Danio rerio: one gene and its partners. The protein of the gene in region 1 interacts with the protein of each later gene in a pairwise test. Links are inferred from orthologs where the notes say so. Each region holds a gene or a part of one and is shown in the gene's direction. Other genes may lie near its edges.

Region 1 (4,427 bases):
ATTATAAATAAATAAGTAAGTAAGTAAATAAATAAATAAATAAAAAACTTCTTGCATAGACTTACATGTACTACATTGACAGGGTAAGTGTGATGTGGGCATGGCAGCCTGGGCATTGCACTGGACTGATCCATGCTACACGACACACTTTTTTAATGCATCACAAAGCAACTGACAAACACTCCACTTCAAAGCTGATCTTATAACTTCCACCTCCTCAACTATTGTTAAAGCTGTTGTTGTTTTATTATTAATAATAATATCGAAATTATAATCAGTGTGAATATATTATAGTTATCACGTTTTTCTGCCTACCTCTTGGACTTTTATTACTATTATTATTCATTAATTTTCTTTTCGCCTTAGTCCCTTTAAAAATCCAGGGCGGAATGAACCGCCAACTTATCCAGAAAAAAACTCAACCTCTTGTAAACTCAAAAATAGAAAAGTAGTTCATGTTAACGTGTAAATGAGCTAAATGTGTTAATAAAGCTCTATTGAAACTAACTTAAACCCCAAATGTGACCCTGGTGCAAGTATCATTTTGGCAAAAGCCAAAAATGCATGTAGGTCAAAAGAATTGAATTTTCTCTTATGCCAAAATCATTGTATTGAGTAAGGACCATTAGGATATTTTCTAAATATTACATTGTAAACAAAATTTGCATCGCTAAACACTAGAAAACTTTAAAGGCGAGTTTCTCTATATTTTTTATTTTATTGTAAGCTTGGTAAGCTTAGTTGGTAATAGAAAGTGTAGTTATTCCGATTTAATTCATTCATTAATTTGATTTCAGCAGTCCTTTATTCACCAGGGGTTACCACAGCGGAATGAACCCTCAACCTATTCAGTATATGTTTTACACAGCATATGCCCTTCCAGCCACAACCCAGTACTGGTAAACACCCATACACTCTTACACATACACTATATATATCTATATATATATATATATATATATATATATATATATATATATATATATATATATATATATATATATATATATATATATATATATACTATACTATACGGTGCATGTCTTTGGACTGTGGGGGAAACCCGAGCACCCTAAGGAAACCCTCACTCAGGGAGAACATGCATCTCCAAACAGAAATGCCAACTGACCAAGTCGGGATATCATTAATGTGATGTATAAATCTTAATTACCAAAACCTGCCTTTAATAGTTTCTTGTTTTATAGTACAGGGTAACAAATATGGGACGTTTGTCATGAAAGTAGACGTAGTCGAGTGTAAAGATCGCTAGAGTTGTGTATTGGGACATGGCCATTGTAGCTTGTAGGTAAGGGATAGTCTAAAAATTGGCAGCTACATTTATCTAGTCCTCAAACGAAATTAAACTACAGCTTGTTCTCTTTGTAAAAGCTATTATTTAATTATAGGTAACTAACATTAATCTATTATTTGTCATCAAGGAAGCAAATACATTAAAAAACTAAAATAATAAAGCGAGACTGCAAAAAAAAAAAAAAAAAAAGGGAATTTGACATGACCCCTAGATGAGTGTTCTCGCGAAAGAGGTGTTATCGCGAGACAAGAAGGAGATGTTTTGAGTCTACATGCGTCTGTTTTATGACAACCTGGGTTAGTAAACATTGATGTTTTAATTTAATGTTGTTGTATTAAGTAGTTATTCGTAATAATGCTTTGTCATCTCAGACTATGTAACCTTACGTCATATTTATTTTGCTTTAGGTCATTTTGCGTACAAACACAATGTTACTTTAATGTCGTGTAATAATCAAATGTAGGGGGGGGCATTGTGCTGTACGTTACACTCATAAATAGATTAAATAATTAGATACGTCTTCTGTGGAACTTTGTCATGACATTGCCATGGTTTAATTGTAGTAAATATAATAACAATTATTTCTTGTTGCATAACCCACCATTTTTTTATTTAACTACCACAATGTTACTACAAATGTTGTGGTTAATCTATAGCATTGCATTGATTTGTTTTTACAAGGATTTAACTACAGACACACACACTCACCGGCCACTTTATTAGGTACACCTTACTAGTTGGCTACCAGGTTGGATGCCCTTGTGAACTGCTATAATCCTTCGTGGCATAGATTTATATTAGAAATATTCCTCCGAGATTTTGCTCCATATTGACATGATAGCATCATGCAGTTGCTGCAGATTTGTCAGCTGCACATCCATGATGTGAATCTCCTGTGCCACCACATCCCAAAGGTGCTCTAGTGGATTGAGATCTAATGACTGTGGAGGCCATTTGAGTACAGTGAACATATTGTCATGTTCAAGAGACCAGTCTGAGGTGATTCACGCTTTATGGCATGGTGCGTTATCCTGCCATAAGTATAGTATAGAACTCCATGCCTTCATGTTGTTGAAGCAAAATTCTGACCCTACCATCAGAATAACGCAGCAGAAATCAAGACTCATCAGACCAGGCAACATTTTTCCAATCTTCTATTGTCCCATTTTGGTGAGCCTGTGCGAATTGTAGCCTCAGTTTCCTGTTCTCAGCTGACTGGAGTGGCACCTGGTGTGGTCTTCTGCTGCTGTAGCCCATTCGCCTCAAGGTTGGACGTGTTGTGCGTTCAGAGATGCTTTTCTGCATACCTCTGTTGTAACGAGTGGTTATTTGAGTTACTTTTCAAAACTGAGCTGGTCGGGTTTGGCGATCCTATCCCTCTGCATTTATCAGGTTTTGGTGAGCTTTCCACTTATCAAAAACCTGTTGTTAGAAACCTAGGATTTCAATTCGACAATGATCTGAAATTTAACAAGCAATTAAATACAATTGTTAAATCCAGTTTTTTCCATTTACGACTTGTGGCAAAAGTAAAGTCGTTTCTTTTAATTTTTAATGACCTTGAGGAGGTGATCCATGCTTTTATTTTGGGAAGACTTGACTATTGCAATTCCCTGTATGTGGGTATTAGTCAAAATGCCCTAAATAGATTGCAATTAGTACAAAATGCGGCTGCGAGACTTCTGACAGGGACTCGCAAGTTTGCACACATATCCCCAGTTCTTTCCTTTCTGGGCTGGCTGCCTGTTAGGTCACGGATTGATCTGGCACCATCTTACTTATTAGACCTGCTACATGTATACAATCCTGGTAGGTAACTGAGGTCTTCTGATGAATTTATTCTATCTATACCAAGGTCCCGGTGTAAGCGGAGTGGGGATCGGGCTTTTGCTGTTGTCGCCCCAAAACTCTGGAACGGGCTTCCTTCCCACATCAGACATGCTCCAACTCTACCTGTTTTTAAAAAGCATTTGAAACGCCATCTTTGTTCTCTAGTATTTGAGCCTTTTTAATGTTGAGGGGTTTGCCTTATGTTTTAATTGCTATGTGTGTGATGTAGATTTTATTTTTAGTATTGATTGTGTTCAGCACTTTGGGCAACGTTGTGTTGTACAAAATGTGCTATATAAATAAATAAACTAAATAAATAAATAAACTAAACTGTTGCCTTTCTATCAGCTGGAACAAGTCTGGCCATTCTCCTCTGACTGCTGATGTAAACAAGGCATTTGCGTCCCAGAACTGCCGCTCACTGGACTTTTTCTCTTTTTCGGACCATTCTTTGTAAACTCTAGAGATGGTTGTGTGTGAAAATCCCAGTAAATCAGCAGTTTCTGAAATACTCAGACCAGCCCGTCTGGCATAAACAACCATGCCACATTCAAAGTCACTTAAATCAGCTTTCTTCCTCATTCTGATGCTCGGTTTGAGCTGCAGCAGATCGTCTTGACCATGTCTACATGCCTAAGTGCAGTGAGTTGCTGCCATGTGATCGGCTGATTAGAAATTTGCATTAACCAGCAGTTTTGACAGGTGTACTTAATAAAGTGGCCGGCTAGTGTATTTTTACTGTAATAAAACTGACTCTTCTTGGCAGCCTCTTTATTTGACGATGATATTAATTCCATTCTGTTGTCAAATTAAAGCAGCTCCGCCATGGACTCGCAGTCATCGATTCTGGAGGAGAACTTGGAGAAGATTTTGAGGGGTGAGGGTCTCGAGTTTGATTCAGTCGCTGAACAAGTGGACCCAGTCACACTGAGGAAGAACGTGTGTTATATTGTCGGCGCAGTCATTTTCAATTCAAAGGTAAAGATGGTGTTGTTGTTCTTGCATGTGAGTGTTGTCTATTTACTGGAACAAGACTGTTTGGTAGCAAGGAATGAAACTGAAGGCAGCACAGTCAATGTGGCTTAATTTACAGTATGCCAGTGTTCAAGAATTATTCTCAGTACTTTATTTACATACTGGTCATGTGACCATGATCTAAATATTGAAAGATATTTCAAACCAAGTTAGGTTTGAAAATAGATTAATAATGAACAAAAATGAACAAAAGATTAATGCAATTCTCATTCAGGAATGTTTTGGGATGCACATACAGTATTTGTGTCCT
Region 2 (3,663 bases), on another chromosome or scaffold:
TGTGTAGATAGAGAAGAGGCTGGAGCCGGTGCAGGAGGAGTGTGAGGACAGTGATTCTCGTCAGTCTGCTTTGGGATGCACTATATTCCTGGGCTACACGTCAAACCTGATCAGCTCCGGTGTGCGAGAGAGCATCCGATACCTCACACAGCACAAGATGGTACCACTTCCTTTCAAACTATGGCTTGCACTTCAAAAAACAACAACATTTTGAATATTAACAAAAAAAAGCATATTGGGTGGGTGGAAAATAACCAGGCAGTATTTACTAGAACTTGTAGTATGGCAGGAATCATGATGAAAACAAGCAAACAGACATATTTAACATTGATAGTGCATGCGTCGGACACAAAAGACTATTATAAATGGGCTTTACTACACCTTTTTACCATTCTTTTATAGTAAGTAGTATGTTTGGATTTACTTTTGTTATTTTTATGTTATTAATGTTGGGAAAACATTAATCACATGCAAAATAAATGTTTGTTTTGGCAATCTAGACCGTGCATGCGGAAAGTATTCATAGCGCTTCACTTTTTTCCACATTTTTTTATGTTACAGTCTTATTCCAAAATGGAGTAAATTACTTTTACGCAATTTTAATAAATCAGTTTTTAGAAATGAGTTATTAAAACTATTATGTTTAGCAATGTGTTGAAAAAAATATTCTCTCTGTTAAACAGAAAGTGGGGGGGAAATATGCAGAGAGGCTAATAATTCAGGAGTGCTAATAATAAGGGCCCTATCATACACCTGGCGCAATGTGGCACAAGGCGTGGCGCAATACTTGTTTGCTAGTTTCAGCTTGGCGCAAGAGTTGTTTTGAGGCGTTACACTACGCTGTTTAAATAGCAAATGCATTAGCGCTCATTTGTGCGCCCATAGGCGTTCTGGTCTAAAAAGGAAGGCGTTCTGAGGCGGACCGCTGGCGCGTTGCTATTTTGAGAATCTATAATAGATTTTACATTAGACCAAAACAAACCCGGTCTAAACTCCGGCGCAGAGTTGCGCCTCGCTTACACACTGCTTAATACGCACAAGAGAGCAATAGGCAAATATCTTTACATATGAAAAAATTTAAATATTAAGGATATATATAGTATATAATAAGAATAGATATAGGATATGAATATAAAGGATTAAAATAAAACATATTATTTTCTAGCCTACATAAATATGAAAAATCACTGCTTTTATGTCTCTTCATCTCGGGAGGCTTTTTCAGTTCATTCGTAACAATTTGCTTTTGTATAATGTTATTATTATTAGCAGTATTATTTATTATATCCATATTTATATTTGTTTTATTAAAAACAAGCTTAGATTTGCCCACCTGCAGGTTTTAGACCATATGGGGCACAGCATGTGTTTTAGGATATAGCTCAGGTTTTTGAGCACATTTTGCTGTTATTATTGTTCATTTATTCGTTTGCTGGAAATTAGAACTGAATGTAGAAATAGTTTTGAAACGAATCTTTGCGCTTAACAAACTAAATTAATTATTTATAGACTAATTGATGTCTGTGCGTAAAGGTTTTCCTATCCTAGAGCGAAAGTGAAAGTGATCCATTATCTCTCATTCTCACGCAGTAGATGCTCTGTTTAACAGTTTTCTGTTAAAAAAAACTGTTAACTGTTTGCTTGTGAAATGCTCAGTTTTTCCACTTAGACTTACTTTGCGTCCTGTAAATAGCGAATGCGCTCTTGGCGCCACGCAGCTGACTATTAAAGGGAATGGAAGATGAGACTCTAATTGGTTTATTCTCAAAACACACCTATAACTCATTAAGAAAATAAACTCAACCCTTTTAGACTATGCGCCATGGCACAAAACGGATTTTCCCGTCCTTATATTAGCAAAAATGCGTTCTGACACGCCCTGAAAGCATTTGCACCCTGCGTTTTGCGCTCTGCGTTTTGCACTCTGCGCATGGACCGTCAAAATAGAGCCCTAAATGTCTTTGTTATGTAATATTGTGATGTTTTTTTGTAGGTAGATGTGATCGTGACCACAGCAGGAGGGATTGAAGAAGACCTTATTAAATGTTTAGCTCCAACTTTCCTTGGAGAGTTCAGTCTGAAAGGAAAAGAGCTGCGGCAGCAAGGAATTAATAGGTATGTATATATATATATATATATATATATATTTATATATATATATATATATATATATATATATATATATATATATATAAACTTCATTTTTAAACAATTGTAAAGTTTTTAGTGCAATTATTATTGTATATAATGATACTTTGTGTCATAGAATAGGTAATCTCCTGGTGCCGAATGAAAATTACTGTAAATTTGAAGACTGGCTGATGCCGATTCTGGACCAAATGGTGCTGGAGCAAAAAACAGAGGTGAGGAGTTTCATTTATTTAATCCTTTAACTACCCCACCAAGAAAAAAACGTTTGGAGTGCATGTCGCTAGTTAACACACTCAATGCAATTTTCCACAACACATCCCATAATTTCTAAAATATCAGCCTTTACCAAATGGCTGATGTCAGTTTATGGTAAAAGTACTGGAATTAATACATTTACTATGAAAAATCTGAAAATATGAAGTGTACGACCAATTTATTTATAAAAAATATTCAAAAAAAAATTTTTAAACACTAAATCGCCATGTCATAAAATATTTCAGGTCCTCATTTAACAAGTTTTCTTGTTGTTTTTGTTTTGTTTTTATTTACAGTAAAACCAAAATCAAGTGTAGTAATAGTGCAACAGGATTATGTTTGATTTAATTTTTTTATTTTTTGTAAACTAACAATGCTGTGTGCATAAACCATTATTGAAAACAGTAATTCTTTAAATTACTTTAACAGTCATTATTTAAAACGGTAAAAACATGGTCAACCATTTGGTAGAGCGGCAGTCAATATATGTTTGTATAATTAAATATATTGGGTGTGGTAAATATTTTATTTTGGATCAAATAATGTTGGTACAAAAACAGAAGTTAGATGACTGTATTATTATATTAATATTTTATTAAAGCACTATTTATTTGTTGGACTTATTAATGTAAATATTTGAAGAAATACATATTCTTTATTGTGTGGTGTTGTAAAAAAAAATAGAGGTGAGATTATTCTATTTTTATTAAATTGATTTTTACTAATTTCATTTTACTAATATAGCTTTTTTAAAATTAAATTGATCTTTGTGACTAAAATTAAATACATTTAAATTTCTAAATTAATCAAATTAATTAATTTAGTCATTTAAATGTATTTAATTTCTGTCAGTTGGATTGTTTAAATGTAATTGTTTTTCAATACATTTTAATAGTTTATAATTTATTATATAAATGTATATATTATTTGTGTGATTCAGTATTTGTAAACCTGGAGAAAATGGTTAGGAAAGTTTTAAGAAAGAAATTAAGTTAATATTTTATTTAATTATTTTTCACTTGATGTATTCAACAATTCATTTAATTATTTTTATTAATATTTTTAATATTGAATTTGTAAAATTTTGTATTTTATTTGCAACATATTTTAAATTGAATTAAATTAATTACTTTTTCTGTCCAATACTAAATATCGAACGCTTGTCATCAGGGCACACACTGGACACCCTCCAAAATGATCCACAGACTGGGCAAAGAAATCAACAACCCTGACTCGGTCTACTACTGGGCCTACAAG
Region 3 (3,467 bases), on another chromosome or scaffold:
GTGATCTATCCAAGTAAAGCTCATGATGTTTACATGCTTTCAAACGGTTTACACACTACTTTTACACTCCTCCGAAGGCTTCTTTCCAAACTTGACTAATGCTCGACCTGAACAAGGTGTGTGACATCACTTTGAAGTTAGCAATTTTGAAAGATTTATATCAGCTTGTTTTTCAAGGGCATTTGCAGATTAATCAGATCATTTAAAGTCTGACTAGTAATTTCCCTCTTTTACCCACATTAACAAGAGCTAGGAGCACCACAAGGAAGTATCCTGTCACTGCTATTTTTAGTGACTCGGCGACATTGCGAAAGCCACTGGAAAGAATGTCATTATAGAGACTAATACAAAGAACCTGAACAGGAAACTCAACAGCCGTTAAACAGGGAAGACAAAAACAGAATTTTTTTGTGCAATAATTAGCATCTACCTCTGCCTTTTGGGTACAGAACTTTTTTTGGATGCAGAATGTTTCGTCCACAATGTGAGGAGAAAACTTGCAAACATACCGTACAGCATTTCAGAGTCACACTGCTAGTGATAAAAGATTTCTGTAATTTAGGAAGCTGAACGCTTTCTGTAGTGTACAGGAGACACGGCACAGAGCAGATTGATTGACAATGGTCTACAGCCAATCGCAGAACACAAACCGATGTCAAACTACACAAAAAAATCAGTGAAACTGAGAGACTGCGAAAAGTAAACGTAATGGCAAGGGTCGAGACCACTGTATGTTTGCAATCTATGAACTCTCCAACCTGATTCAGAGAGAATTTTGCAGGGACAAAAAAAAGTTCTTATTTCTCACATAAACTGAAAATATCAATGGGCTGGGACCATTTATATTGTACAAAGTTTTTAGACATTTTAGGTTAAAACATATTTACGAATCCAAATCGCAAATAAATAGCCAGATTTCCTTAACTTAGCCATCTTCATCTTGAAGAATCCCCCATTCCCTGACTTCTCCCCCCTTTATTTTTCTAGCATAATACTAGGGAGTTCTCAAGACTTACCTGAGCTCAGGCTCACCTCTCCCCGTATGAAACCAGAGGGAGCCCCAAGCTTGAACATCTTCTGACCTCAGGGCTCTTTCCTGAGACAGCATGCTAAAGCCATGGCTATTTTAAAAGTTTTTAGACATTTTAGGTTAAACCATCTCTTTGTAATAAGATGATGTGGGATTTCGTAATAATATTATCGTAATAATATTTTCCTAATATACTTAACCACGCCCCTCCATCTGTCAGTACCTCAGACAGACGTGATGTGAGAATTGAATTGAAAACACACAGGATGCACATTTTCAGGTTTTTCCAGGGCAAATATTTACTTATTTTTCTTAATGACACACACAGATGAATTGTTTGTCACAAAACTAGCAATGTGAGCTAACAAAACCAATATGGTTAGTTTTGATTTCAGGTGCTCTTTAAAACAGTCACCCTGCATTTGTTTTATTTGACAAAATTCTGAAACTAGAGGCTTATTTTAGATCTATTAACAATTTATCTTAAAAGCAGATGTCAATCAGAGGAGCTGACAAACTATATATACTACAAACAAACTCCATTCAGTGAGCCTAAATGTCTGGAAAAACCAGTTTTCAAAGCAATAGAGCTGGATTGTTTAACTCGATGATACTAAATAGTCCATTTCATGTTGGCACAAGTTTTGACGTACCATGAATCAGTCTTTACTCTGTGGCGTGTTCAGTTAATAAAAGTGGAAGTTTGTTTCTCCACTGAGCTTTGATGCTCTTCAATTTTATAGTGAAATGTGTGGCAAAAATATCAGATGGGTTTACATTAGGGAGAAATGATGGTTTCCCATTCATTTCCAACATGAGCAACACTCAGATAATCTATTTTCCTCCTATTATTTAACTGTTTTGAATTGTCGATTGTTTAAATGGGAATGATATCTCTAGCTCTGCCTTCTATTTGTTGTTCTGATTATGGTCTTTGGCGTGAATGAGTTGTAACTCTCTGTGGAATCTCTTCATCGTCATAGTTTGTTTTTCTTTCCACAGCATTAAGATCACAACCTCCTGCTTTCCAGTCCCCTCCATATGCTGTCATGATCTGGTTTACGACTGGTTTGACAGTCTGGCTCAGTGTTTGCACTGGAACGTCCGCAAAAAGCAAACACGTCTAACAGACGCCAGCGACTCCTCCGAAACTGAAAACTGAAGCATCACCATCAAACGCTCGCAGGCTGTTCAATTCACATTCCAGGAGTTTCTTTGCCTTAGAAATAATGCTTTAGTCAGAGGTTAGCCTGGATTGCTCATCATTTGATTGCAACAGGACGTTTTGTTTGGTTAAGTGTATGTGAAAGTGTCATTGTGTTAGAACAGGCAGAGATGATTCTGTTTTAACTAATACATTAAATGAGCAAGGTTTATTTAACATCATATTGTTTTCTGCACATTCAGCACTTCTAAATTGTTGCTTGAGAAACGCATTAATGGATTAGAAATGAACGGGAATTAACTTTTCCTATGAATGTCAGTTGAATAAATTTGACCACAAGCACACAGAAAGCTTTGTGTGTGTGGTCTGTTATGACAGTAGTTCCTCATTTCATGTAAAAAACACGACATGTTAAGTCAGGCGGGAGTCTGTCAACACCGAGCAGTTGTGGAAGCGCTCTGTAGCCCCCCTGTGGCCATACCGGATGTTGCTGCACGTAACGCATTTTTAAAACCCCTATTCGTTAACTTTACCATTTAAGTTGGTTTTTATCCAATTGATTAATTTTACAGATGCTCCGTATTTTGCATTTCTTATCAAATAGTCCAAGTCCTGCAAAGTCATATCAGCCACAATCTAATATAGCTGAATGTATCTGGTAAGCTGTTTACCTTTTGATGTAAATAAGAGATCCTATAAAAATGTATTTGTCTTGTTTGTATTATTTCAATAAAAGTAATGTTGGATGTTGTTTCGTTTTTGTCACTTGAAAACATTTCAGGGACTCTTTATTAAACTAATGTTCTCATGTAAAAAAGAAAACCAATCCTGTGTCATTTACACCAGGTATGAATATTACTGTGGAAACCGCCCTGATGAATCAAATCCTAGAACCGCCGCTGTTCATAAAACCACTTTATCCTCTATTTTGACAGCAAAGGCATAGTTTGGGCTTTTTAGGTTATAATTTAGATTTATTTACAATTGTTAATTTTACATTTTGACATCTTGTAATTTAACTGTCTTTTTCTGACTTTACAACCCATAACTATTCATTTATCTATTTCATTAATCTCATTAGTTTAACTTTATTTTGTTAATTTTACAACCCATAATTTAAAAAATCTTGACTGTCAATTTTGACATTATCTCATAATTTTGTCTGACTATTTGTGTATGACTATTTGTCTTGATTTTTTACTTCACAACTCAGTTTCACATTTTTTGACTCAATTTTTCCATTACTGATTTCTGTTCTTCAACTGTACTAAT

The links.
Region 2: the proteins of nudt18 (region 1) and dhps interact in binary tests that used the Homo sapiens proteins (3 or more experiments, as listed by UniProt). The two-hybrid records come from large-scale screens. The link is inferred for Danio rerio from reciprocal best matches to the Homo sapiens genes NUDT18 and DHPS.
Region 3: the proteins of nudt18 (region 1) and nadkb interact in a two-hybrid assay, tested with the Homo sapiens proteins (2 studies listed by BioGRID and IntAct). The two-hybrid records come from large-scale screens. The link is inferred for Danio rerio from reciprocal best matches to the Homo sapiens genes NUDT18 and NADK.

The regions. Positions count from the first base shown.
Region 1 is NC_133183.1:55,665,217-55,669,643, forward strand, and holds the start of nudt18 (8-oxo-dGDP phosphatase NUDT18), read left to right. Parts: upstream 1-1,556; 5' UTR 1,557-1,608; intron 1,609-3,957; 5' UTR 3,958-3,967; coding exon 3,968-4,120; intron 4,121-4,427. UniProt on the Homo sapiens protein: Mediates the hydrolysis of oxidized nucleoside diphosphate derivatives. Hydrolyzes 8-oxo-7,8-dihydroguanine (8-oxo-Gua)-containing deoxyribo- and ribonucleoside diphosphates to the monophosphates. Hydrolyzes 8-oxo-dGDP and 8-oxo-GDP with the same efficiencies.
Region 2 is NC_133178.1:11,965,952-11,969,614, reverse strand, and holds part of dhps (deoxyhypusine synthase), read left to right. Parts: intron 1-7; coding exon 8-160; intron 161-1,993; coding exon 1,994-2,115; intron 2,116-2,266; coding exon 2,267-2,363; intron 2,364-3,576; coding exon 3,577-3,663. UniProt on the Homo sapiens protein: Catalyzes the NAD-dependent oxidative cleavage of spermidine and the subsequent transfer of the butylamine moiety of spermidine to the epsilon-amino group of a critical lysine residue of the eIF-5A precursor protein to form the intermediate deoxyhypusine residue.
Region 3 is NC_133177.1:40,241,436-40,244,902, reverse strand, and holds the end of nadkb (NAD kinase b), read left to right. Parts: intron 1-2,032; coding exon 2,033-2,192; 3' UTR 2,193-2,946; downstream 2,947-3,467.